Linked DNA regions of Coturnix japonica. The protein of the gene in region 1 interacts with the protein of each later gene in a pairwise test. Links are inferred from orthologs where the notes say so. Each region holds a gene or a part of one and is shown on either strand. Other genes may lie near its edges. The genes, in order: KIFC3, HSBP1, PRKAA2, BYSL, ZGPAT, MFAP1 and FAM161A.

The links.
Region 2: the proteins of KIFC3 (region 1) and HSBP1 interact in binary tests that used the Homo sapiens proteins (3 or more experiments, as listed by UniProt). The two-hybrid records come from large-scale screens. The link is inferred for Coturnix japonica from reciprocal best matches to the Homo sapiens genes KIFC3 and HSBP1.
Region 3: the proteins of KIFC3 (region 1) and PRKAA2 interact in binary tests that used the Homo sapiens proteins (3 or more experiments, as listed by UniProt). The two-hybrid records come from large-scale screens. The link is inferred for Coturnix japonica from reciprocal best matches to the Homo sapiens genes KIFC3 and PRKAA2.
Region 4: the proteins of KIFC3 (region 1) and BYSL interact in binary tests that used the Homo sapiens proteins (3 or more experiments, as listed by UniProt). The link is inferred for Coturnix japonica from reciprocal best matches to the Homo sapiens genes KIFC3 and BYSL.
Region 5: the proteins of KIFC3 (region 1) and ZGPAT interact in binary tests that used the Homo sapiens proteins (3 or more experiments, as listed by UniProt). The two-hybrid records come from large-scale screens. The link is inferred for Coturnix japonica from reciprocal best matches to the Homo sapiens genes KIFC3 and ZGPAT.
Region 6: the proteins of KIFC3 (region 1) and MFAP1 interact in binary tests that used the Homo sapiens proteins (3 or more experiments, as listed by UniProt). The two-hybrid records come from large-scale screens. The link is inferred for Coturnix japonica from reciprocal best matches to the Homo sapiens genes KIFC3 and MFAP1.
Region 7: the proteins of KIFC3 (region 1) and FAM161A interact in binary tests that used the Homo sapiens proteins (3 or more experiments, as listed by UniProt). The link is inferred for Coturnix japonica from reciprocal best matches to the Homo sapiens genes KIFC3 and FAM161A.

What each region holds. Positions count from the first base shown.
Region 1 is NC_029526.1:1,981,525-1,985,610, forward strand, and holds the start of KIFC3 (kinesin-like protein KIFC3), read right to left. Parts: upstream 2,801-4,086; 5' UTR 2,786-2,800; coding exon 2,651-2,785; intron 1,345-2,650; exon of another isoform or gene 1,264-1,344; intron 447-1,263; exon of another isoform or gene 382-446; intron 339-381; exon of another isoform or gene 145-338; intron 1-144. UniProt on the Homo sapiens protein: Minus-end microtubule-dependent motor protein. Involved in apically targeted transport. Required for zonula adherens maintenance.
Region 2 is NC_029526.1:14,758,421-14,761,878, forward strand, and holds HSBP1 (heat shock factor-binding protein 1), read right to left. Parts: upstream 2,149-3,458; 5' UTR 2,058-2,148; coding exon 2,013-2,057; intron 1,698-2,012; coding exon 1,631-1,697; intron 1,453-1,630; coding exon 1,331-1,452; 3' UTR 1,330-1,330; intron 765-1,329; 3' UTR 501-764; downstream 1-500. UniProt on the Homo sapiens protein: Negative regulator of the heat shock response. Negatively affects HSF1 DNA-binding activity. May have a role in the suppression of the activation of the stress response during the aging process.
Region 3 is NC_029523.1:23,036,259-23,040,336, reverse strand, and holds the start of PRKAA2 (5'-AMP-activated protein kinase catalytic subunit alpha-2), read right to left. Parts: upstream 2,801-4,078; 5' UTR 2,766-2,800; coding exon 2,669-2,765; intron 2,496-2,668; exon of another isoform or gene 1,753-2,495; intron 1-1,752. UniProt on the Homo sapiens protein: Catalytic subunit of AMP-activated protein kinase (AMPK), an energy sensor protein kinase that plays a key role in regulating cellular energy metabolism.
Region 4 is NC_029541.1:4,735,579-4,739,855, reverse strand, and holds BYSL (bystin), read right to left. Parts: upstream 2,801-4,277; coding exon 2,415-2,800; intron 2,334-2,414; coding exon 2,195-2,333; intron 1,988-2,194; coding exon 1,854-1,987; intron 1,668-1,853; coding exon 1,507-1,667; intron 1,302-1,506; coding exon 1,199-1,301; intron 1,068-1,198; coding exon 719-1,067; 3' UTR 453-718; downstream 1-452. Other genes in the region: MED20 (mediator of RNA polymerase II transcription subunit 20), read left to right, coding at 2,799-2,908, 3,053-3,204, 3,369-3,622. UniProt on the Homo sapiens protein: Required for processing of 20S pre-rRNA precursor and biogenesis of 40S ribosomal subunits. May be required for trophinin-dependent regulation of cell adhesion during implantation of human embryos.
Region 5 is NC_029535.1:9,388,222-9,392,026, reverse strand, and holds the end of ZGPAT (zinc finger CCCH-type with G patch domain-containing protein), read right to left. Parts: intron 3,678-3,805; coding exon 3,546-3,677; intron 2,698-3,545; coding exon 2,280-2,697; intron 1,813-2,279; coding exon 1,674-1,812; 3' UTR 501-1,673; downstream 1-500. UniProt on the Homo sapiens protein: Transcription repressor that specifically binds the 5'-GGAG[GA]A[GA]A-3' consensus sequence. Represses transcription by recruiting the chromatin multiprotein complex NuRD to target promoters.
Region 6 is NC_029525.1:18,263,697-18,267,789, reverse strand, and holds the start of MFAP1 (microfibrillar-associated protein 1), read right to left. Parts: upstream 2,801-4,093; 5' UTR 2,694-2,800; coding exon 2,615-2,693; intron 2,378-2,614; coding exon 2,158-2,377; intron 1,946-2,157; coding exon 1,816-1,945; intron 1,502-1,815; coding exon 1,314-1,501; intron 946-1,313; coding exon 837-945; intron 764-836; coding exon 603-763; intron 361-602; coding exon 201-360; intron 1-200. UniProt on the Homo sapiens protein: Involved in pre-mRNA splicing as a component of the spliceosome.
Region 7 is NC_029518.1:13,371,497-13,374,258, reverse strand, and holds part of FAM161A (protein FAM161A), read right to left. Parts: coding exon 2,755-2,762; intron 2,335-2,754; coding exon 2,167-2,334; intron 1,630-2,166; coding exon 1,530-1,629; intron 565-1,529; coding exon 422-564; intron 1-421. UniProt on the Homo sapiens protein: Involved in ciliogenesis.

The DNA.
Region 1 (4,086 bases):
AGCAGCAGGACGCGCAACCCGCAGGGCACCCCACGCCCCTGCAGCTCTGCAGCTCGCTCCCGCTCCCCGGCCGCGCAGCAATGCGAAGAATGCGGGCTTGCCGGTTCCTCCCCCCGCCCCTCCGCGGAGCTGGGCGCTACTCACGCTGCAGGGGCAGCTCCCGGCCCGGGCGGGCTGCCGGCATGGCACGGGGGGTCCCCGGCTCCGCGACCCCTCGGCTGCCGCAGGGAGAGCGACTCGGCACCTCGCAAAGTCCGCCGGTCCCGCTCCGCACCCCGGTCCCTCCCACCGCCGTCCCGCACACAAAGGGAAGCCCGGCCCGGCCCGGCCCCGCCCGCTCCCGGTACCGCCCGCTCCCGGTTCCCTCCCGGTGCCGCTCACCGGCCGCCCGCTGCGGCTCCGCTCCCCGCCCCGGTCCCGCCCACCCGGGCGTCGGCACCGGCTGCTCCGCCCCGGTTCGTTGCCCTGGTAACGCCCGGGACCCCCGACGGGCGGCGGTGCCTGGGGGATGCACGGCCCCGCAATGCCACTCTCAGCCCCACGTAGCCCAACTCTGCCACTCAGCCCCTTACAGCTGCTCGTAGTCCCACACAGCCTCTCTCAGTCCTACAGAGCCCCATATAGCCCCTCTCAGCTGTACATAGCCTCACACAGCCCCGACCTGCCCCTCTCAGCCCCTTAAAGCCCCTCATAGCCTTATCCAGCCCCCACAGCCCCTCTCAGCCCCATATAGTCTCTCTCAGCCCCACTGTGGGTGCTGTAGGTGTTCACGCAGGGCTCCCCGTGTCCGTGCAGCGGCTGCCGCTGGTTCAGCGATGACACGGGCGGACACGAGGTGACTGTAAGCATTCCAGCAGCGACTCTAAATGTCGTATTGTCACTGCCTTAATTTACGAGCTGTGAGGGCAAAATAATGTTTATGCAAATAGCTCTGGGCGTTAAGTCATTTCCTGTCCTTTGAATGCTTCAGGTTTTTTGATGGCATTGCAATTATGCAGCGGGCGTACGTTGCGTCAATTGCATCGAGAAGAGACTAAATGGGTGAGGGGAGATGGACGGCTCCCAGAGCAGGACCCCAATGCACCAGGAGATCTGGGTGCCCACCGGGCCGGTGGGGTTTATCCTAAGGATGGTACTCGGGGCTGAGCATGGAAATCCCGACCCTCAGGGCTCTTTCGCATTGGAAGCAGCCCCTCTATCACCCTCATATTGCGCGAGCAATAGGGCTGCCCCCCCACCCCCCTCTCTCCAGCCCCAGCTCACTGCGTGCTGCCTTTGCTTTCTCTCCACGTTCCAACGCGGCGCCGCGGGCTCTGCCCTTCCTTTTAGAGCAGCTCTTTCCCCGTCTGCAAAGCATCCCTCCTCGCTGCCAGCCTGGGAGCAGACATCCGAGTGCCGGCCCGGGATCAATGAGCGCTGGGAGAGCAGCAGGAGGGCGGCCAGCCCCGCTGCCACCTCCTGTGCGTGTGTATGCAATGAGGGATCGGCTCAGCCAGGCGGCTTCATTCCCATTTCCCCCCTATTTGCCCACGAGTGTGGATGGAGGGAAGCCCCATTGATTGTGCCGATGGGGGCCCTTTGCATTTGCAGTCTGCTCTGCCCCGAGCAAATATTTAACCTACATCTGTAACACCTCGGGGGAGATGGGGGGAAAATACGATATCCTGGCCAAAGTTTAACCTCCCCCTCCATTCCCTTCCAGCAAACTGATGGCAGGAATGCAGGCGTGGGCACACCTGGGTGCTCTCTGTAGGAAATTCCCACCGGGAGGATCATCAGATGGAGCGAGAATCATCCCCACAGAGCAATTAATGATAACGCAGCTCAGTGCTGTAACTCCACTCCTCCCTGAGAGCCCCAGTGAGGGGATCCCCGTGCTGAGCCCACAGGAGCAGCTAACGAAACCCCACAGTCCCTCGTTGCCATCTGAGCTCTTTAACGAGTTTTAATTAAGTCTTAGTGTGCTCCTGAGAAATTTGTACTCGTTTCCAAGTTCACAGTGGGAATTAACCCAACCCGCAGGCAGCGATGCTGAGATAGGGCAGCACTCAGGTGACCCGGAGCTGCCCCCACTCACCCACCCAACATCAGCAGCCCTGTCTTTTTCTCCTGCTGTGCAGCTGGAGGGTCCCTGCAGGGCCTGGCCCCATCCCTGCCCTTCTCCCCAGGAGCTGAGCCAGGAGGTGCAAATACAGGCAGAAAGGATGGCAGCGGTCTCCTTTAAAAAAGGCATCCCGTCCTCGGCGAAGCTGTCTATTTTTAGTGCCCTCGGAAGCACGTTTGGTTTTGGAGGAGACGCTCAAGCAGTAATTGTGAATAATTTAGGGAACTGAGTTTGGAGGCTGATGTCAGCAGCCGTGCCACTAAGGGACACTGAGTGCGTGGCTTTGGCTGCTCAGAGCTGAATCCCACAGGGACACGCAGCCATAGGAGCCTCTGTGGGAAGAGCAGTGCTGCTGTGCCCTTCTGGAAGGGGAGAGCAATGGCACAGCTCTGTCGCCTCCCAACTGCTCGGCCTGCAAACTTACCCTGCCATGCATTATTCACAGCTCTCATCTATAATGCACAGCCCTACACCCGCACCTGGAGCTGCATGGCGATGGATGGACACTGCAGCTCACTGCCATCGCTCCCACCCCATGTCTCTCACCTGGGGGCCGGGCCCTGCTGCCCACCGCCTCGCTCCTGGCAGTCCCCTGGTGCTCTGCAGAGCCACGCTCCTCCATTTGCTGTCCTTAGTCCAGCCCAGCACTGAGAGTGCAGCCAGAGCACCCAGCGCATGCATGGCACTGCCTGCTCCCCAAAGGGCCCCCAGGGCGGCTGCTGCAGAGCAACTCTGTCTGCAGTGGAGGAGAAAGCGACGTCTCCTCTGCTCCTGTCTGCCGGTGCCTTAAGAGCAGATTAAAACCCAGCCCTGCAAATTGCTGACACAACCTATTTCTTAGATGGGTGGACAGGTGGACTTTTCTCCCTCTGCAGATAACAGTGCTCAGATGGCAGCACGTTTGCTCCCTGAGTGCAGCCATCCACCCCAGGGTCTCAGGAACACCCAAACCTTTCCTGTTCCTGCAGCAGGAATGACACAGAGCCCCATTTCCCTCCCATCAACCCGCACGTGCAGGCTGTCTGAAGGCAGCCAGGAACGGTGAGAGCAGGGAGATTTGCAAAGCAAACAGCGATCAAACAAAAAGGCTTTGGTTACTGTTCTCGAGGCTGTTTGCCAAGACACACAGATCATATCGGGCTCATTTACAGAAGGAAAACCAACGTAATTAGCGCACAGGAAAACACTTTAATGAAAAGAGCCTTCGTGTAAAAAGCGATGGGACACTGCCCAGTGCTGCAGCAGGACCCAGAGCCATGCTAATGCTGCATGTCCCAGCTCAACATGGTCACACCGCTGTGCTGCATGCACTGCAGCAGGCAGTAACCATGGCAGCAGAGAGATCTGCACGTGATAGCAGCATTTCTGCAGTACAAAGGAGCCTCTTATCTGGGCTGAGCCAATCGCCAGGCTGCTGCTCATTCTTCCACCTTGTGCTAGGACAGAGCCGTGCCATGTCATGCCATCCTATGCCATCCCATGTTGTGCCATGCCATGCTACGCTATATTCTGCCATGCTGTGCCTCGCCATCCTGTGCGATCCCATGTCATGCCATCCTATGCCATGCCATCATATATCATTCCATGCCATGCCATCTTATGCTATGCCACCCTATGCCATTCCACAGCATGCTATCCCATGCCACACTATGCCATACCACCTTATTCCACCCCAGGTCATGTCACTCCATGCCATGCCATCTTGTCATCCCATACCATACCATTTTATGCTATGCCATTCCACACCATGCCATATCACCCCATCCTATGCCATACCATCTTATGCCATTCCATGCCATTCTGTCCTATGCTATTCCATCCCATGCTATGCCATCCTATGTCATGCTCTTCTATTCCATGCCATCTTATGCCATCCTATATCACTCCATTTCATGCCATGCCATCATATGTAATGCCATGCCACCCCATCCCATGCTATGCCAAACCATCCTATGCCATCCTGTGCCATGTCATGCCCTGTT
Region 2 (3,458 bases), about 13 Mb from region 1:
AAGATGCTCCTAAATGACACTCTGTCAGTTTCAAAGTGTAGTTTTTACAGTGTTACAAAAGCCAGAATCTCATGATGAGACTTTCTGTAACTGAGAATTCTTTGTCTCTCTAACAGATCAGAATGGCAGTGGTAGCTTTGCTCTGTACAGATGTCTCTACTGTTAAACACGTATTTGTTTTACACTCTAGGAACACACAGGTATGGTGATATCAACATGAGATATGATTTTGATATTCAATGTCTTATGTTTCCAAAAATCACCTTACTTACATTTATGAGGAGAAAACAATGCAGTCATCCACTACTTGAGAGAATGATGCTTGGACCTAAGATTAATACTAGATTTCAAACTTGTGCTTCACTCCACAAAATTACATAGGACAACTCAAGATCTCCATTGGACAGCAGTCACTGGCTGTTTAGATATCAAAAATGAGACGTCTAGAAAAAGTATAAGAGGGAAAAAAGTGACCTCACAAAAAAAAATGCACCCGATAATTGAGATCCATAAGATCTGTGTTTTAATAACAACTAATTGATCCTCATAACAAGAATTTGAGAGGTGAAATTACAGTACACAAATTGAAATAGAAACTAACCTATCCCTAGCTATACAATATACATTAAGAATGCAAGCTCTGTAACAATATAAAAATGCTTTTACACACAGTAATTGCGAAAAGCTCTTCTGTTTATTCCAAGGGCTTGTAGAAAAAAAAAACCACCAAAGTCTTCCAGCATTCACCTTAAGTTATTGGCAACCTGTGGGGGGGGGAAACATAACAAGAATATGATTGAGAAGAATTTAAGAAACACATTGATCAGAAGTTTTCATTTGTGAGTTTCAAGCTGAGGAAATTGGCACTGATGGGCAAGGAAGCCCATAACAACTTGTATTTTTTTTGGTCTAAGCACTCAAAATATACATCACTTAACATGCAAGTATGCCTGTTTCAAACAGGCTACACAGTGCTTTAGATGTGACCTCTGAATTTCAGACACAAGGGGCTGAGACATCTCTCATTTAACACCCTTAAAAAAGGGTTCTCTACTATCACATGTGTTCATTTGCCCATTGCTTTCTATGGATGAGGAAAATTAAGTTCTGTATTGAACCAAAACAAAACATCCCTGCTCATACATTGTAACACACAGCCCCTGCTTCTGCTGGAATATTCTTGGCAATCTTGCATTGCCCTCATCTGGTGAAGAAAGCTTCATAAGATTCTTGTATTATAAGGAATTTCAGCCTATCTCACAGATAAAAAAATACATTTTTGCCTTTTAAAGTCAGTAATTTCAAGTGACCTGAGGCCAACTGTCTCACCTTAACTCTTGTTAGTGGTAGCGGGGGCTTTGTTCTCTCCTTCCAGTTCTTCCACTCCTGCTTGTGTCATCAGATCCGCTATGTTTTTCTCCAGGTCATCTATGCGGCAGCTCATGTCATCGAGTTCTCTGGTTAAGGACTATGACTACAATGTAGTGATCAGGTTCTTAGTGTTGTTTGGTTGCAATCATGGCACTGCTCAAACTTTTATGGCCGCTTTAAATGTACCTTACAAATCCCACAGAGATATGTTAAGCCACTTGAGCATTCAAAGCAGCCATTTGGCTTTAGAAAAGGATATTCCGTCCAATTATTTGGTCAGACATGGTCTGAAATTTATCCTGCATCTGCTGAAGCAGCGTCTGCACCTGAGAGAAGGGGAGAAAACACAGCAGGCTGATTGCATTCATTACAGAACTCATCACGATGTTCGTAGTGCTATGAACACACACAGCAGCCTCACAGCACAACCCCCAACGCGTTATATTTATATGTACATACAGAATGAAAAGTTATAGGGGAGAGATAATAAACGCAGACAGACAAACGCAGCTGCTCCCACTGAACAGCCCAGGCCTCTTCTCTACCCCCACAGCCCCGTCCTCACCCACACCCTCCTACTAACGGTGATGTAACGAGGCTAAGGGCTCCTCCAACACCCTCCCCGGGGACACAGCGCTCACCACAGCCGTGAGATCCTGCACGGTCTTGGGGTCCGTGTCCGCCATGGCCTCAGCAGCAGCTCGGTTCACCCCGGCCTACACAGCAACGGAGCTTCCGGGCCACGCCTCGAGGTTTCCGGCTTAGAGCTCTCGCGAGGGAGGAGGAGTTTGCGGTCATGGCGGCTGCTTTAGTCTCTCAGTGTTATTCGGTTTGGAGGAGCAGGAGCAGCACCTAATATCCAAACTCAGCCTTCACTTAAGGCAGTTCACTCTGCTTTGACCGGCCCTCGTTGCTTTCCATCACCATCCTGTAGGCAGCACTGGGCTGTGAGCAGGTCTGTGTTGTAAGGCAGTACAGTGCCCTTATTTCCCATTAAGCTTAACCGTAACATTATGCTTAGCGTAAAAGCTTCCCACATGCTGAGATATAGTGCTTTTCTGATGCTCTTTAAAGGTAACTTTGCAAGTTGGGCACGAGCATGTTTTGTGGCATCAGGTGGTGCAGTGTGAGGCAGCATTCACCTTTTCCAGCCTTTAATATGAAAGGGAATGAGCCTGCATTTTGTCTGTGTTCAGAACAGGGCTTAGAAGCTACAATAAGGGCTGCTGCACAGGTTGGTGGCTGGAGATGGTGCTTTATTGCAGCGTATTGCCTTCATGAAAGGAAGAGCAAATAACAGCACTGAATGCATTAGGTTGGATGCATATCTGCCACAGATCAGTGATACGGTCCTTAAGGGACTGCAAAGCTTCATACACTCGATTTTCACATCAGGGAGCAGCGTTTCCTAAATGCAGATTTATGGGCTTTTCAACCCAAGCCCCGCATCCGTAGTTTTCATCTGTGAAGGGAATGGATGTTTACACAGCTTCGTTATTATGTACTGCAACAAGATCTAAACAAACTCAAGTCAACAGAAACACCAGAGGTGCGTTGGTAAATGAAGAACGTTTCCCATTAGTAGGGGATAATTCCCCAATGCCTCATTTCTAGTTGAAGCGATCCGCTGGCACGTTCAGCCTTATCCCATAACTGCTAACAAATGTGAGATGCAGGGCATTTGCATTATCAATGCGCCTTTGGAAACACTGCAGTAGTCATAAAAAATGCAATTTAGTGCCAGTTTGGGGAAATGTTGTCTGTTTAAATGTAAATATGGCTTCTAGTTCTGAGAAAGGCTAAGAAATTAACTCCCATTTGTTTGTTGGATGTGTTTACAAAAGGCAGTTGTTTTTATGACCGTTCTCTGAGCGACATAAGCTACTGCTTTGGTAAGGCTGTCATACCTGGTCTGTTAATGCACACTGAAGAGGAGATGTCTCGGCTCCCAAGTGCTGATGTGAGTCACACAGCAGGCAGTGCTGCAGGCTCAGGCTGAGCTGCCCTTCAGCTGTTGCAGACCACCAAAGGATGTGGGACAGCAGTGTCATACCTTCCCCTGCACCACTTGAGCATGTCACTTCCAG
Region 3 (4,078 bases), on another chromosome or scaffold:
AACGTTTCCCTTTGCTCACAGTCTCCAACCCAGCACACATTGGTGGGACAAGAAGCACTGGGAGGTCCCATGGGCTTAGCCAGGGCAAACCCAACTTTGCCACATGGAACAGGGAAAGGATGCACATGCTCCTCTGTGCTAATGGCACTGTCCTGTGCTGGTACCCAGGCTGGGCAGTGATGATGTCAGGTGGAGATGAGAAATCCTGCTCCTTCCTTCCCACTCACTGCCTAGATTAAAGCCTGAGGGGAGGAGGGAGGGCTGAGTGGCAGTATTAGAAAAGGGATTTGAGCATGTGTCTTGTCTTCTAGTGACAAGTACTCCAGTCAGCTTCCCCGCAGCTTAGAATCAGCAAACTCAGCTCCATTGGGGCAGGCAGAGGGGATGGATTTGACAGTGACTTGAAAGCACTGAGCATTGAACAGAGCCTGTAAACTCCAAAAACTGGCACCAAAGCAGACGTGGTGTGAGCATCCTTAGCTGTGACTGCATCTGTTTATGCATGGGACTGCCTGCATTACTCCAGAACTGGAGGCTGCTGGAGAAAGAAGGGAAGAGATATAATAGGATGAGTTTCTAACAGGAGACCCTCCATGTTTTATTATTTTTATAAGAGAGGAGAAAAAAGATGAGAGATTTATCCTACAGTAAGCTGAGATAGCCATTGAAGTCCTCTGGCAGATGGCTCAAAACCAAGTATCAGCTCATCCCCACAATGCCTACTGACCATGTCCCTCAGTGTCACATCTACCCTGTGTGTTTGGTGCAGCTCAGGAAGCATGGGCAGCTCAGCTTTTCACAAATGCTTTGCAAGGATTAGAAGAAGTTTAGGAAAGGGAAAGCAAAATCCTTCCCTATCAGCTGTGCTGGTCCTTAGCTTAGCCTGAAGTTACAAATGAAATCAATCCAAAGCATATATTTAGCAATGACATATTTGTTCTGTCCCAGTGCCACTTGCTCAGATGCTGTATCACCTTTCCTTTCCTCTTTCTTTCATCTGTTCAGCCTCTTTCAGTTGATCATCCCTCAGTGCAATGTTTGTCTTTCAGCAACAAATGTATAATGGGAATTGACCCCTACTTGAGGCTGAGTAATGGAGATAAACATAACCCAAGAACTGCTCATGGTGCAATGGCCGTGACTGGGATAGAGCTCTTTGTGGGGTGGGATATGCCTGGTGCACTCACAGCACTGATGTGTCCCACTTGCTCCTTCCCACTTCCAGAGGGAGAGATAACATCCTTTCCCTCATTGTTTCATAGAATCATAGAATGGCTTAGATTGGAAGGGACCTTAAAGATTATCTACTTCTACCTCCCTCTGCCATAGGCTGGTTGCCATCTATTAGATCAGTCTGCCCAGGGCCCCCATCCAACTTGGCCTTGGCCACCTCCAGGGATGGGGCATCTGCAATAAGAAACATGCTGCTGATGGCACCACCAAAACTATCATATACAACAAACACACAGCGTGAAGCAATCAGGAAGAGAAGTCTCCTCTCCCATGTTTCCTGCCAAACATGATGAGCACACCTGAAAGCTCATTAGGTTAAAACAGTGCTATTCTGCATTGCTCCAGTCAAACTCTAACTGGAGTTAAAGGGGGAAAATATACACGTAGAAAAGCTGCTAAGCCACAATGGATGGAGTTTGGAAATCTTTTTATGTTATTTTATATGTCCTTTGGAAGTCTGTTCTTAACCAATTGGGTGATATATGGTGTTGGGGGGGAAGGGGGGGAGATATTCACGCTACTCCTGAAGGGTCCTTAAGGAAATCAGGTTGTTGTTAGCAGGCTTCATTTGGTCTGCAAGAAAAAAGAAATCACCTTTGGGGCACTTTTTGAGGTCTGTTGGTACACAGGAGCGATTTGAATGGTCCTTTCTTTTAGAAGTGTTTATCCTGATAATTCTTTGGTTGGTAAATTCGTGGTTTGGGATTAAACATAGCAATATATTTTTAGGGGGCTGATTAATGGCCACAGGTGGATTTAGCTGCAGTGGTTAAGGTGTTTTCTCTGCCCTGCTGTCAATCTGGGGTTATTTAGATACGTGGGCAGGGGACAGCTGAGCAGGATGGGGTTCCACTCTGCCCCCAGCACCCAGACCTGCTGTCTGCTGGGAATCACAGCTCCTCACTCTGCTTGTATCACACGTTTGTGTAGAGGTGTTTTGTTCTTTTGTTTTTGTGGGGCTTGTTAATATCATGACTCGGGGGGAAAACGTGCACATAACGGTAGAACTGAAAGGAATAGAAATCTTTGCATCGGGAAAAGCAAAGCCAGTGCCTGGCTTGAGTGCGAGAACCATCAACCAGAGACATCCATCCCCGCGTGGCTCCATCGCTGACACCCCCACCCCAAAATGGGTGGGGGCAGCAGCGGAACCTCCTCACCCCCCACCTCCCAGGACCGAAGCGTTCTTCAAACAGCAGCGGAAAGTCACCGGCACCCGCCCCCCCGCATCACCTTCCTGCCGCCGAGGGAGGAAAGTTTCGGTGGGTGCTGCCCTGGGGATCATCCTCAAGAGCTGCCCAGGACGCCCTCACCCCCTCGCCCTGGGAAGGGGTCACATCCTCCCTCCCCACCGCCGCGCCCCGCGGATGATGCTCGGCACGGAACGGGTTCCCCCCGCCCTCCTCTCCCCTCCCCTCAGCCCTCGGTACTCAACCCTTGACTTTGCCGAAGGTGCCGACCCCCAACGTATCCCCCAGCACGTAGTGGCCGATCTTCACCCTCCCGTCGTGCTTCTGCTGCTTCTCGGCCATCTTCGCCCCCCGGCGGAGGACCACAATGCGCAGGGCCGGCACGGTATAGCACGACACAGCTCGGGTCGGCACGGCTCGGATCGGATCGGGCGTGCGCAGCGGGGAGCGGCGGGCCGGGCCGTGTAGGGTGCACGGGGGCGGGGATGGGGGCAGCTAATGGGGATAGGGATGGGGATGGGGGCACCTCCCCGGGAAGCACCCGCTGTAGGGTGACGGTGGCCCCAGTGTTTGGCACCTGCTTGGGAGTGACACTGAGCGCTTTTGGGGTGGAGCCTCCGAGGAGGGACGCTGCCCCTAGGGTGTACCCTGCATTGGGGTGAGGACGTTGCCCTTGGGGTGCCCCCGCCTTCTGGGGTGTGGGGTCTGTATGGGGGTGGAGAAGGTGGCAGCCTCCTGGGGGTGCTATCTGGTCATAGGGTGCACCCCCTGATGATGCCCCAAGATTGGGGTGTACCTGTTCAGAGGATGTCAAACCTGCCTGGGAGTGCACTCATTTGGGGATGCCACACATACCCGGGGATGTCCTCCTGTTGGCACACCTTCCATGGGCTGATCCTCCCTCATGGCGTAGCTTGGGGTTATACACAGCTTATGGCGACACTTTGCATGGGATGACCCCTGGGAGGGCAATTGCATCCAGTTCATAAGATACAGGGATGCTGCTTGGGCTGGGAGATGGGCAGGTGGAAGGGAGGTGGCAATGTGGGTGCCTCCTTGCTGCCCTTAGCCCTGAACTGCAGGCGGGGAGAGATGGAGACGCTGTGCATGTGGGTAAGCAGATGTGTGTGGTTGTTTTGGGGTGATGGTGGTGCCCACTGTTTGCAGCTGTAGGGATGTGGTGGTGGCTGAATGTTTGCACTTGGCAAAGCGGCAACAGGAGCCCCACGGGTCTGTAGCTGTGGTAGTACAAGGGAACAAAACAGATTCACAGGGAAGAAAACATGAACACATCAGTAGTGCAGCCAGCTGAAACCATCTCCACACCCTGGCAGTGCTGTCAGCTGCTGCTTCTCATGGGCTAACAGCTCATCCTAATGATGGAATTATCCATTCCTTTGCATTCCAGCCACGGGACAGCCCACAGTCTGTTGCTGTAATGTTGTAAATTAGATAATAACACGGCTTTGTTAAGTGGGCTGATTCTTCTTGCTGTAGTTTCTGTCTCATTAGAAATGAAAAAAAAAAAAAGAAAAGCAAACCTGTCCTGAAGGAAACACCCATTCAGCAGCCCCAGCTCTCTCCTGTAATGAATATTTCCCATTTTACTTGTTAAGACAGCTGTAACCCCAAAAGAAAGGCAATCCACACTCTAA
Region 4 (4,277 bases), on another chromosome or scaffold:
ATGCTTCCAGGAGCAAGGACAGGAGCTGGACATCTGCAGGAGCTGTAGTGTCCAGGTGAGCACCCAGGTAAGCGCGGAGCCTTGTGCGATGCCCCGCTGGATTTTACAGCAGAGGTGGCACTTCAAGGCAGCTGCCACGTGTGGGTTATGGCCTTGCCCCTTGCCCCCACCTCTCACAGGAAGATGTTTAACCCCAGCCCCTCTGCCCAACATCACAGAGGCTGCTTAATGCACAGCACAGTTGGGAACGTGCTCGCTGCTGACCAGAGCACAAGGAGGGCAGGGAGTTGCACAGCCCCTGGTCTCCTTTTGCAGCCGGGACAGCTGCAGCGCAGTGCTGCAAGGAGCCGCTGTTGGTGGCTTTGCTCTGCCCCCTGCTGGGGACAGGACGAGGGGAGGGGGACAGGGCAGGACGATGCACGGATGCAGCCACACAAAGATGCAACTGCAGGTCAGAGCTGCTCCAGGAAGGACCCAGCACGGGCTTTATTTTCCAGAACAGGAGCAGGACAAGCCCTACTGCTGTCCTGGGTGCCAGGGCTGTAGGGCTGCCCTGACACAAGCAGCGCAGGGAGCCCAGCCCAGCCCCGTGGTTACAGCACCATGAGCAGTGGGATCCCAGGGCTGGATGCTCCCAGACCCCTGGACGTGCTGCTCCCAGCTGTGCAGCAGCCCCCAGGAGCCAGGCCAGGCTGTGGTGCTTCCTTCCTTCCTCCCCTCACTCCATCACTGCCGGCTCCTGCCCCTCCACGTCCCGTGTCTTGGAGTTCACCAGCTCCCTGCGGATCTCGGCTGAGATCTGTGGGTGGCTGTGGAACTTGAGCAGCTCGAGCAGAGCTTCCTTCTGCTCCGAGGACAGGTCCTCCTTGTAGCGCTGGGCAAGAGCCAGGAAGCTCTGGTGCCACAGCACGGGCAGCGTGCGCTGGTCTGTGCGGAAGGCCAAGAAATGGAAGACCAGGGCATCCACCACACGGAACGGCAGCGCGTACTTCTTGTCGATGAGCAGCCGCAGGAAGATACTGTTGGCACCGTTATATGGCATCTCAGCAATCTTCAGCATGGCTGCACTGTGGGGACAAGGGGAGCAGCAGGTGAGGGCAGGGCACAAAAAGGACGGCTTTGAATCAGCCCTGAGCAAAGCTCCCCCACTCTGAGCTGTTGGATGGGCTGAGGGGCAGTGACTGCCCCAGTGCATTACCTGGAGTGCAGGACAGGGATGGAGCACTTGGTGAGGATGCTGCCGATGATAATGGCCTCCCGCAGTGTGCAGGTCCCCGATTCACACAGGGGGATGAGGATCCCTGTGGGGAGAGAAGAGCTGGGCACCACTGGTCATTGCAGCAGGCAGAGCTGTGGGGTGTGAGGCTCAATCTCTGCTCTCTCAGGGCACATTTAACCCAAGGAAATAACATCTCTGCATCATGGGCACCTTTCCACCTTCCTCCCCCTGCCCTGCCCTGCAGCAGGTTCCCAGGGGTGGAGTGCAGCCCTGCAGGGAGCCCCTACCTTTGAACCAGGCTCCTGGCTTGAACAGAGCCTTCTTCAAAGCCATGTAGAGGTGGAAGTTGAGGCGCTTATACTCAGCGATATCATCTCTGACCCGTGGCAGCAGCACCAGGTTGTAGAACCTCTGGGCCATCCTCTCCTTCAGGTTGGATGAAAATATCCTGTGAAATGCAAAGCATGAAGAGTGAGCTGTGACTCCAGAGCCATCCACCCCCAGCATCAGGATCCCCTCTGCTCCACAGGCACAGGGCAGGAGGAGCAGCTGTAGGACACACGATGGTATTTTGTCCATCTCGTTCCATTACAAGGAGAAAACAACAGCTCAGAGCACACTGAGCTGGTCCCACCTCGTGGCCTGGTACATCGCTGCTGCCGTCCACGTCTCGGGCTCCGTGATGTAGAGGATCTGCTCCCAGTTGGACAGGGCAGGAATGATTTTAAATGCCTTGGGGAGCTTCCCACTCCTGTATTTGGACAGCACCTTCAATGGAAGCAGAGGGGGAAGGGTTTGTCTCAAGGCTGTAAGCAACCTGTCTGCTCCCTGTGCAGCTCCACTGCGTGTGCTCACACAGCACGTATGTGCTCACAACACCCGAGGGACACAGCAGTGCTGTCTGCACTGCTCCGCCGGGAGCTGGGGGGTCCCACAAAGGTGTGTGTGGGGCCGGGGGGGCCGCAGTGCCCTCACCTCTCTGACGCCTCTGTACACCTCTATCACGCGGGGGTCGAGCTGGGGCATGGGGCGGCCCGACAGCTCGGACAGCGCCGTCTGCACCTCCGTCTGCTTCTCCGTGATCTTCTCCATGATCACATCCGCCAGCGTCCGCCTGGGGGGGCGGCAGGGGTCGGTGATGGGGAACCGGAGCTCCCCGTCCACCCCCCGCCCATTCCCACCCCTCCTCCGGTACCTGAGCGGCGCCGCGCGGTTCATGAACATCTCCAGGGCCTTCTCGTCCTCGGGATCCACCTGCACGTCCCCCCCGCCGCCCGTCCCGTCCCACTCCGCCGCCCGCTGCAGTGACGGCCACTCCTCGTCCTCATCGTCCTCCTCCGACCCGCGCCCGCTCGGGGCTGTCGGTGCGGGCGCCCCGGGGCCGTGCTCGGCCTCCAGCTCCTCCTGCTGCCTCCGGGCCTCCCGCAGGATGCGCCGGGACAACCGCGGCCCCACGTATCCGCCGTCCCGTTCCTCCGCATCGCGCCCCGCGTCCCGCGCCCGCCGGTTCCGCACCGTGGGGGCCGCAGCCCGCAGGATCTGCTCGTGCAGCGGCTCCGCCACACGCGCCGCCTTCGGCATGGCCGCAACAGCGACACGCGATCAGACGCGCCGGCGCCAGCACGGCCAGCCCCGCCCCTTCCGGTACCGGCACCGCCACTGCCGGGACGGAGCCATGGGGGTGACCTGGTGAGGGGCCGGTGGGGATGGGGTGATGGATGGGGTGATGGATGGGGTGATGGATGGGGTGATGGGGTGATGGGGTTGGGGCTGGGTTTGGGTTTGGGTTTTGTGGAGGCCCCGCGGCCATTTTTGCTGTTTGTCGCCCCGCAGCGTGACGCAGGTGCCCGTGTTGGAGGGTAAGAGCGTGCAGCAAACCGTGGAGCTGCTGAGCAAGAAGCTGGAGCTGCTGGGAGCCGAGAAACACGGAGCGTTCGGGGTGGACTGTGAGACGTATCACACGGCAGCCGCCATCAGCAGCCAAGGTGGGAACCCGGGGGGGGCGGGTGTAGTGCGGACATGGGGCATCTGCTGGGCTGGTCAGCATGGAGAGGAGAAGGCTGAGAGGGGCTGGGGGCGCTTATCAACCCATACGAATGTTTAAAGGGTGGGTGTCAAAGGAACGGGCCAAACGCTGCTTTTCTTTCAGGGCAGACGGGCAAACTGATGTACGTGATGCACAACTCCGAGTATCCCCTCAGCTGCTTCGCTCTGTTTGAAAACGGGCCCTGCCTGATCGCGGACGCCAACTTCGACACGTTGATGGTGAAGCTGAAGGGATTCTTCCAGAACGCCAAGGCAAACAAGATCGAGAGCCGGGGCACGCGGTACCAGTACTGCGACTTCCTGGTCAAGGTGGGAACCGTCACCATGGGCCCCAGCGCCCGCGGGATATCCGTGGAGGTGAGAATCACCTTTAAGGGTATGAAATCCAGGGCAGGGAAATCCCATGTTGGAGGCTTGGCTAGAAACCTTGAGTCCCCATCCCTTCCATGTATCATCTGTGTTACTCGTTGCTGGCAGGTTGTATTAATGCATTCAATGCCCTCCTGCTGCAGCTTTGGCTCTAAAGCTGCTTTCTCCTGGTCACAGAGCTCTGTGCTGTCAGTGCTGCCCCAGATCTGAGATGAGGTGCTGAAAGGTCTTGTAAAATCTGAGCATGTGTTTCCCTAAACACACAAATCCTATTAACTGGTCTGTAATTAATAATGATGGCGCATCTACCCAGGCAGGTGTTCCGAGCTAACAGGGATGGGATTGAGAAATGCCTTGGTTTTGCTTCATAAGAATAAACACAGATGTAGTGGTGCGAGCTGCTGCTGAGCTGGGGTTAAAGAGAAGCTTGTTTTACCCTAAGCTTGAGTCCAGGACCAGATTTTCCTGGCAGTCCGGCTGCTTCTGCTTTGGTTTAGTAGGTTGTTTTCTGGGTGTCCATTAGTACATAATCCCTGGTCTGGAACCGCAAGTCCTTAAATCCCAAGGCTTTATCATCACACATCTGAGAGATGTCGTGGCCACACAGGCTGTTAACAGCGACTCTTGGGAGAGAAGTTTGTCG
Region 5 (3,805 bases), on another chromosome or scaffold:
AGCCCTGAGTCAAACCCAGCGCACAGAGAACACCAATTCCCAACAATGAAGAGACTTCAGCCAAATGAGTTACAAACAGACGGATGCGTCGCACTCGAGGCAGCCCACAGCACCTTTCACAGCAGAATCCCATTGCTTTCCAGGAGGAACCAGGCACTCTGACAGGCTTCCTGACTGTATTAATCTCGCTTATCTTCGCCGTTGCTCTTTGTTTTCCGAAGGGCGTCTGCAGTAGTGCTAAATCACATCTGGGCTCTGATGGTATCTCCTTCAGCCGTAGGTTTTCTGGTTAGCTCGGCAGTGAATCAGACAGGCCGGGCCCCCACAGGGTGATGCAGTTCTGCCCAAGCTGACGGCTTCAGAATCTTCTCAGAAGCAGATAAAAAGGTGGCATGAAGGGAGCAAAGCTTTCCATGAGACAGAAAATGACTCAGAATAAAAGGAAATTGATTTGGGTTTCGGTTTTTTTTTTTTTTCTTTAATTAAGAAAAAAACGTGTCCTGGCTTGAAATCACTAACAATTTATGATGACTGTTTTTTTTAAAAAACCAACACAATTACAATGAATAAATCCCACCGGAAAGAGAGGCTGAGGAAATCACCAGCTCTCCTCTGGGGTAACGGCCAACTGCAGCCAACAGGGAATACAACCTTGGGGAGAGGACATCCCTCCTGTGAGAGCACTGACCATGCAGCAGGGAAGGGCACCTCGCCTGGCCTGCTCCCAGGCAGGGCTGTGTGCTCAGCACACACACACACACACACACCTCCCAGTCCTCGTGCTCAGTCTGACCTGAGACTGGGTCCTGAAGTTTCTTAATAAAGGATGGGCATTCAGAGAGCCATATGGGACTGAAAATCTCAAGTAAGGACAGAAGCCCAAGGTTCTCTGTAGTGTTGTTCCTAGCGAGGAGGTTTGAGAATCTGTTACTCTGCTGTCTTACTCCCCCAGCTTTGGCACTCACAGAACCACACAGCTTCCCATGCCAAGTCGATCAGTTAGGCTATAGCATGTCTTAGGGATACTCTTACACTGAAATTGAAGAAATATGATGCTTGAGGCCCCTAATACCCAGCCCTGAGCTGCCAGTTTTCTGTCTATGCATTACACAAGGTTTATGAGAAACTGCTCCTTATCTAAGAGTTCTCCCCATAGCAAACGACAGAAGGTGTAGAGAGCAGCTGAAGCAATTTGCCTTTGTTGTTCTCAACTAACATATGCCTTTTCTGCTCTGCCAAAACGTGCCTGGGACCCTGCCTCCACTTGTGTTCATCAGTTGGCTGCAAACACAAGCCACAACCGATGGCAGGATGTGGGGCTTTCAAAGGCCCTCCTCATCCTGTTCGTAGCCAGCAACGTTATCATCTGAGCAGCTACACACTCTGGCTACTGCAGAGATGAGAGGAAAGAAGTGTGCAAGATAGCAGAGAACTGTATTTCTTGTAGCTAGTCCTTACACAAAGTTCAAGACTGGACAGATGTGGGCTCCTCCTCTTCCCAGCAGAGCTCAGAAGCATCTGGTTTCAGGAACTGCTGCTTTTCAGCCCAGTTTTTGGGCTGGGAGTGCAGCCTGAGGCCCAGAGAAGCAGGACAGCTCATCCAGGCTTTGAGGCCATGAGCACAAGAGTTAGCTAGAAGGATAACCATGGCAGTCAAACACCTTCCTCAGAGACTAGAATTCAGTCATCTTCTTATGTGTGTCTGCTTTCTTCTGCTCCCGCTGCAGACTGGCTTCCTGGGCCTGCAGCTGCCCCAGCTGTTTGTGTGCATTAGCCAGCTTCTCCTCCAGCTGAGCGGCAGCAACGCTGTGCCTGAAAGCAAAAAGCATCATAGCAATGTGTCATCCTGCATGGTTAAGATCAGAGGTCTGTCACCATCCTAAGAGGGTCTTCCCTTTTCTATGGGATCAGCCCAAGGCACCTGTTGAAGGCAGGAAGTACCTGATGCTCGGCACAGTCTGGGCTAGGAAACATCCTCCAGTGCTGCTCAGCAGCAGCACTTCAGAGATGGGTATGGGAAGGAAAGGACTATGGGACTTCTCCTGAGAGAGCTCCTCTCTTTAACACAGCCTGAATTCCACCCAAAGGACCTCAGACACACCTGCCAGTGTCCAAGCTGGGCTGAAGCACACGTTAAAGGCTCTCTCCCTCTACTTCTCCCCAGGTCATGCACAATAGTTTCCTTCCTTCCTCCCACACCTAATTTCAAGCCCACACCTTCCCAAGTGCACCAAGAATCCTCAGTTTATCCCACAGCCCAAAAGAGAAGTTTTTCGTACCGCCCAATATTGCGTGCCAGGGCCTGCTGGATTCCTCTTATATCCTTCTGTGTTTGTTCAATCTTTTCCATTGTCTGGAAGAGGCGGACACTCAGGGCCTTCTTGGTGCTCTTGCTGGCATGGTAGATCTCTTTGCTTTTCCTTTCCGGCAGTGTCATACCTCCAACCTTCTCTCCTGTGTTCTTCCCTCTCAGTTTCTCATTCAGAAAGTCAAACACATTGCGGGGTGGCTTGCGGCTGCCTGCAGGGGACCTCCCAGTGTTATTTCCCTTTGCTCGGGATTTCTTTGAATTGCCAGGGTCCAACCTCCCCTGTTTCTTTCTCTGAAGCACCTCAGCACACTGGTCAAGGGACTTCCCTCGAGGAAGTACCACCGCCTGCACCGGCTCCACTCGGCCATCAGAATTCTTCCCAAGCCCTGAGAGGGAAAAGCCATAAGAGTCACCAAGCCATTACCAAGAGGAAGGACATCCCCTCTCCAAGTCAGATCCCACCACAAACTCACACTGACAGTGACAAGCTTAGAACAAGCAAGCAGGCTTTGGACGTGCAAAATGTCGTAACTACCATCCAAATCAAGGGAAACAGCCAAAAGCTGCAGCTCATCTATGTAAATCGACAACAGGAGCCTTCCTCAAGCAGAATATAAGTGATAAAAAGCCCAAGGCCAATAACCAGGTCAGTTTCTGTAAGACAAGGTTCAGTTTCACATCCTTGGCTTCTCAAGGAAGGTTCTTCTTAAAACTGGTTTGGTTCCTCTGGGAGAATCCGAGATAAATCAAGTAGCAAACTGGCCTCCCAAAGCCCCCAAGGCTCCATCCAATTTGTGTAGTAAGAAGCTAGTTTAGCAGGCTTTGAAGTCCACGTCTAGAGCCAGGAGATGCTTTAATACAGACATCACAAGCTTCATAAATCAGTTCCTTTCTACCTACCTAAAGCCTTTGAACAGCTCATTCAACAGTTCTCACAGCTTTAATCATTAACCTGACCATGGTTTTAAATGCCTCCAAACTTTTGCTGTTACCATACAAGAGCTGGTGCACACATGCGGCTGTACTTCGATTAAATAGTTCTCTTCTTGCCTACCAACATTTCCACCCAGGGGTGATTCATCACATACCTCAAGCCTTATCTAACAGGCCCTTCAGCAAAGTTTTTGCCTCGTCCAAAATCTTGGTCTTCTTACCTAGCCTTAGGATGCATCACAAGACTGAGACTGCAATGCAGGCAGGCTCTCACACCACCATGATAACCCTCTTTCCTTACCTTTTCCAAACTCATATCCCATCTGAACGAGCAGTTTGGAGCCAATGCCACGAGTGTGGGCTTCCCAGCCACCGAAAGAGGAACTGCATGCAGGAACCCATTCTCCATTCTCTGGAACCCCAGAATCTATCACTGTAACACAGAAAAGACAAACCGGTGACACACAGACACAAAGCTGATTTGCAAAACCTTCAAGAGCATGAAAACCCTTCTTGATGTAATACAATGTACTGCTCCCACCACAGAATTGTTCAGCAGCT
Region 6 (4,093 bases), on another chromosome or scaffold:
GCATTCGTGTCTTTACTCACCCTGCCTGCCAGACCTGACAGGCACCTCAGATCCCCTCAGTCACTTCAGCAGCACGCTGCTGTTGAGGGCCAGCTCTGGTCCTGTGTGCTTGGCCAGCCCTTACTTGGGTACCACTAGGGAAAACTCCCCCAAAACAGCCACGTGGTCCACGCAGCCCCAGGCCTGGCAGCAGAACTCACCATGAAGAAGGCGCCACGGTGGTAGTACTTCTGCAGGAACTTGTATTTGCCCTTCACTGCCTTGTTGGTGATGACTTTGCCGTTGGCTCGCAGCTCGGCACGGCGCTCCTCCTCTGTCAGGTTCCTCATCCGCTCGATCTCTGCCTTCTCTTTCTCCATGCTGGGCAAAAGAGAAACCCTGAGCCCCTGCATCCCTCAGTGCCCTCCCAAGATGGGACAGCTGCTGCCACCCGGGACTTTCTGACGAATACGTTGACTGACTCCATAATGGAGTAAAGCACCTCAAGAAAATTCCTGATGCTGCCAAAACAAAGACTGAGAAAGAGACGCCTCAACTGCCCGCTGTCCTGCAGGGCCTGGGACTGCAGGGACCCTCCCCTGCCTTAAGCAGACAGTACTTACGCTTCTCGTTCTTCACGATCCCGTTTGATGCGCTTCAGCTCACGTACTTTCCAAGCCTCGTACTCCTCCTCATCATTCTCATCGTCTGTATCGAGAGCATCAAGTGCTGCCAACGAGCGCTTATTCTCTTCCAGCTCCTTCTTTGCCTCCTCTTCCACGATCTGAAGCCAAGACCAAGCTCAGCTCACTGCAATGGCTGCCCCAACATGCATGCCCCAGTCTGCCCCGCTGTACCTTGAGTGTGTACTTGCGCCTCTCTTCTGCTAATCTCTTTGCCTCCTGTTCTAGCTCCTTCTGCTTCAAGGCTTCTGCTTCTCGCTCCTGAACTGTGATCCGGTCCTTCCTGTGAGCAGGGACCACAAAAGCCTTCAGCCTTTCAACATGCCACTGCAGACCTCTGCTCCCACTGCAGCCTCTTTTAGTCTTTATGCCCCCCACGGCAGGGCCAAGTCCCAAGGCTCTCTCCTTTCTGATTTTGCTCATTCAAGAGCGACCATACTCAGTCTCCTCACATCTGCAGACATGCACAAAGGTGATGGGAGACCCTGCTACTGGCTGTGGAACATGTTGGAGCACACTACCTGGTTTCTGTTGTGCTGTACCTGCCTAAAGTCCCCAGTTGGAAGTACCCAGCCATGCCCTACCAGGTCAGTCACTGCCCATCCCTGATGCAGTGCTTGGCCCATGCAGCTGTATCACCTTATCACCTACTTGCGGATGAAGACAGGTTTGAGACGTGGCTCCATTTCATCCTCGCTGTCTGTGTACTCCTCGTACTCAGACTCTGACTCAGACTCTTCTCCAGATCTGCCCTCATCTTCCAGCTCCATCACTTCCAGCTCCTCAGTTTTTCTCTCCTGCGCTCTCTGACGCATCATCCCACGCCGACGCTCGATCTCCTAATGGAGACACATCAAACACAGACTCAGCCAACCAGCCCCACTATCGCTTCCTTCCTTTTTCCATATAAAAAGCATGATGTTGAGCTTATATGATATGATGTTGACTGCTTATATAAGCCCACACCTCAGAACGCAGGTGACCTCCCTGGTGCCCCATAACCCACAGGCTGTGGTCACACCACAGCTGGCTTTAACTCAGGTCCCAACATCCACCCAGTCTCACCACAGTTCACGTGTGTCTGCAAGCACGAATTCCAGACAGGGCCTAAGGGGACTTTCCCAGGCCACATCTGCTCAGCAATATAACGAACCTCATCATCGATCTCTTCCTCTTCCTCTTCACTGGTGTCCTCTCTCTCCACACGCCACGCTTCACCTTCTACCTCAGAATCACTCTCTCCGACCACTTCAGGCTCCACAATTTTGCGGTGTCTTGCCAGCCTGCAACAAATGTCCACTCGACTACGAAGCTCTGAACACAAGGAGACTAAAGAAGAGAAATCTTTGCGATCTGTTTCTAATGAGACCGTAGTCAGACCCGGGACCACGAAGCGTGTGAAGGAAAGAGGCATCCCCTGCGTGCTCAGGAGCCCGGAAACACAAAGCTGGGGGGGAGCACGAGGAGGGAGCAGAGCCCGGAGCCGAGCACTCACCGCTCCTCCACGTCCTCAGTGATGCGGTTCTGCAGCCGCCGCAGCCGCGGGTCGTTGGCGACCTCCTCCTCCTGCTCCTCGGGCTCCACCTCCTGCTCCTTCGCCTTCTTGATGAACTGGAACTCCTCGTCCTCCTCCTCCGAGGATTCCATGGGCGCGTAGTCGGGCCGCTTCCCCGACACGTACCGCTTCACCTTCACCTTCTCCATAGACAGCTCGCCTGCGGGAGGGGGGGGAACAGCAGCGGGAGGAACAGCAGCGGGAAGCCATGAGCAGCCGGGCCATGAGCAGGGCGCCATGGGCAGCCGGGCCATGAACAGCCGTGAGCAGCCATGGGCAGCCATGGGCAGCCGGGCCATGAGCAGGGCGCCATGGGCAGCCATGTGCATTCATGCCATGAACATTCACGCCGCCGCCGTGCCCGCGCCCCCCGCCCCTCCCGGCGCCCCGCACTCACCCTTCTCATTGCGGACGGGCACGGCGCCCGCCGTGGACTGGATGGGCGGCTGCTTCACGAGAGCGCTGGGGGCCGACATGGCGGCGGGACGGGACGGGACGAACCGCAGCCGCTCACAGCACCGACCGACCGACAGACCGACAGACCGACCGCTCACCCGGAACTGCAACTCCCGCTTCCGCCGGCGTACCGGAAGTGAACGCGCGCCGAACCGTCGCAAGCCGCCGGAAGTGACGCTCAGCGTGGAGGTCATTTCCGGCTCCTGTGGCCGGATGTGGAGCTGGTTTCGGCCCGGTCCGGTCGCGGTGCAGCGGCGGTTCCCCTCAGGGCTCGGTTCCCCTCAGGGCTCAGATCGGCCCCGCTGTGATCTCTCCGCTCATCGCTTCGGGGCTCGGGAGTGGTGACGTGCTGCGGAGCCGGCCGCACGTAGCCCCGGCCCGCGCCGGGTCCCTGCCCGGGATTCCCGGGGCCGGCTGCCGAGTCCTGCCCCTGCTGCTCGTGTGGCTGCGGCTGGAGGCTGCGCTCAGTGTCGGTGCTGAATACCGGGTTACCATCGGTGCTGAATACCGGGTTACCATCGGTGCTGAATACCGGGTTACATCGGTGCTGAATACGGGTTACCACGGTGCTGAAACGGGTTGCCCATCGGTGCTTGGAATGCCCGGGTTACCATCGTGCTGAATGCGCGGCGTACCTCGGTGCTGAATTTACCGGTTACCATCGCTCTGCAGGGCTCTCCCCGGGCTGTCCCCCGCCCTCTGGCTGCCAGGACTTTCCCGCAGCACCGGCCCAGGGCAGAGGGAATTACCCGCAGGAGCAGCCCCTACATGGAAGCGGGCAGGTTTCCTGCCCCAGCTGTTGCTGCTCACGTCAGAGCCCTTCACACACCAGTTGGGTTTCGCAGGAAAGCAGCCCAGCGCCAACTCGTAGCAGCTGCCCACGCGGTAGCAGCCAACCACAGGAGATAAGATTTCTCTTGAAGCCAGGAAAAACTGGGTCACCAGCCACCACAACCGCGTCTGCAGCGCTGCGGTGCCTCCCCAAAAGAAGGGAAGAGGTTTTATCTTCCGGGAAATCAGCACGGGGGTGCCAGGCAGTGAGACCTGCTCCTGGGGACTGACCTCAGCATTCCCTTGTGCTGGCAGGGTGGGTCCCCTGGGCACAACAGCTCCTGGGTAAGCCTGACCCTGCTGGTGCTGTGGCAGGAGAAGAGCTGCCACTGAGCAGGCCCAGGCAGAGCTTTTGGCCGCTCCAGGGTCCCTGTGATTCTGCTGTGCGTGCAGCCAGACCCCAGTGCTGCAGTTGTCCCGCTGCCTCGGGCACTGGTGGCTTTGTGCTCCTGCAGCAGCAGTGCTTGGGGGTAGGCAAGTCCTTCCTGGTGTTCCTGGCCTTGATGTCCCGATGACAATTAGAGCTCTGTGCCCAGCTCCTGCTCCGCTCCCAGTCATCAGCTGAGATATCAATTTTGTGTGGTTATCA
Region 7 (2,762 bases), on another chromosome or scaffold:
AGAGGGAAGGCTGGACTCTGCTTTTACGCTAGAAAGTAACAGTACTGCTTATATATTTGGCTTTTCCATTTCCTTTCTGTCATAACAGCAAATGGATATTGAGAAGCCTTAAATAAGGCTTATTTTAAAAAACAGAAATAAAAGTGAAGGTGATGCAGAATGAAATGACTTCTCAGCAGCCTTCCAGAAATCACGGTTAAAGAACCAGACTGAAAATATTACCCTGAATTGTTCTTTGAAGTGCATGGTGTATAACATACCCAGAGCCCTTCTCTGACTCAGGAAACAATTCAGGCAAAACAACCACACACGCTGCAATATTTACTTGGAAGTACTGCAAATGATTTTCTCAGCATTAAAAATGGCTCTCATTACTACTCGGTACACAGCAGCAAAACCAAAACCCTTCTGTGATCTCTACCTTTCTTTGGCATCAAAATCTTCAGCACTGCAGTACTCTTGCAATTTAGTTGTTTGTCCTTTCTTGGAAACCAAGTCTGGGCACACCCCCAGAGCTCTCAGTCTGTTAGAATAATATTTTTCTGCAGCTATTCTGGCATTATTCTGTAGGAAAAACACAAGGGTGAAGTATGAGCTAAATGCCCGTCTTCAGATACTTTTGCTTATATTAATACTGTTTCATTATTTGCACGTGAGAAGTTAAGTTCGATTATTCACTACAGCTAAGAATGGCAAAACTACTTGAGAACTTTATAGCAGATCTTCCTCCCTTTTCTGTACTGGTTCAAATGCAATTTGCTCCCTACATCCGCCGGGTAACAAAGCGCTGTAAATACTGTGTAATGCTATTGAGGGAGCGGGGAGAAGGTACAGACCTGAAACATCAGCTGTGTTCTTCCTAGGGCTGCTTCTCTCTGGGGGAGCTGCTGCTCTGAAACATGACATTGCTTTACTCTCTCACAGTGCTGTTTTGATGTGCTGTGCAAATCTGAATCTCTCTGTCAAGCTGTGTAAGCTCTGCTCCTCCAAGTGACAGCTGGGTGAGGAGGCCTTGTCCCCAGCCTTCATGCATGCTCTGCCCTGCAGCACTGCTGGGCCAGGAAACCCACCTGGGAGGGATGAGAGAACTGGGAGGAATGGGCTGTCTATGCCTTGCTGCCTCTCTATTCCAAAAGCAGTCGGGGACTGTGCTACCAATGCTTTGTTTTACTGAGACAGAGGGGTGAAAATTCTGCATCTCAGCTTTACAGTAGACATGGGGAATGCTTGAGATCTCCTAGTATTCTCCCAGATTAAACCTCTCATCTTTTGCTGTAAATGTGTTCGACTCAGTGCTGTGTGTGTTATAACTGAACCACTGGATGTCTTTAAAACATCTCATTTCCCTGCGCAAACGCACCATGAATGCTTGGTCACAGAAAAGTGATTTGTAGGGAGATGGAGCAGTAGAAATTAAAATGGACAAAAACTTGTCTAAATAACTTCATGTAACTTTTAACAGTGTTTGACTAAAAGTTCCCTACACACTTAACTGGAGATGAGTCTAAGAAACAGACAAACAAGGCAACCTGTGTTACTCTTTCCAAGAGCAATGGCCTTTGCTTTACTCTTTCTTCCATCTCTTGTAACTCTTGCAAATACTCCTGCATTCTCTGCTTGGCGGAGTTCCTAAAGGAAACACAGTGCAACAGAAGTCAATTGTCTGTAACACAAGAAGTACTTCCTTCCAATTGCTCCATGACAAGCATGGTCCCTGGTTAAAAAAAGCATAAGGTTTTACTGTCTTACAGTGGAATTAGGTTTACCTCCTCAACTTCATGGAATGATAAAATGATTTGGAAGGGGCCTTAAAGCCCACCCAGCCCCAACCCCCAGCTGTGGGCAGGGCTGCCCCCACCAGCTCAGGCTGCCCAGGGTCCATCCAACCTGGCCTTGAGCACCTCCAGCGATGGGGCACCACAGCTTCTCTGGGCAACTGTGCCAGGGCCTCACTGCCAGAACATCCTTGTTTGGAATACCAGTGGACAAAACTATTTCTGAAGTAGTGTCCTTGGATAAGCAGCGAGAAGTCCTGTCCAGTGAGGCTAACGGGGCCTGCCTGAGTATAGTTTCTTATAATAGATTCTTCTGCCTTCCCCACCTCTTTCCATATTGTCTCTGAGTTTCTGCAGAGAGGCTCAGGATTCAGGGGATGCAATGAAATACCTGAACGCCTTTAGTTTGGATTTAGAGGTCTGAGCGAGGCTCTGATGGGGGTCGTTGGCCTCAGCCCGAGTCGTGACAATTTTCTGCAGTTTCTTTGTTCTTTGTTTCTGCTTTGTCCTGTTCCTTTTCTGTTGTTCTTCCAGCCTTCTCTTTTCCTCATGCGAATTCCTGGGTGGAGAAACAAACTAAGGCTGAGTTTGTTTGAAATCAGGCACGAGACTTCAAAGGAAGCTTCGGCAAAGGAAATTTGAAATACTAAAAAAGAAATGGAGGAGGGGGGGAGGGGGGATGAAAAAGGGCTTGGTATAAATGGGTATGTGCCACTGTAAGGGATTAGAGCGTATCCTGACAAACTGAGGCCGTTCTTCCCTTTCCTATTGACACGTGCAGGAATGTGCATTACTGCTTCTAGGAAAACCCAGTATTAGTAAAGCCCCGTGTTTAGTGTAAGGACTTGACAATGGTGTACAACTGAACATATTAAGTCCCATATTCACTGCATGAAATAATTAATTGCATCTGTAGAGGTACAAAAGAATTCTCTCTAGGTATTTAAAGGCACAGAGCATCACTGCAGCAGTTAGTCACCTTAGGGC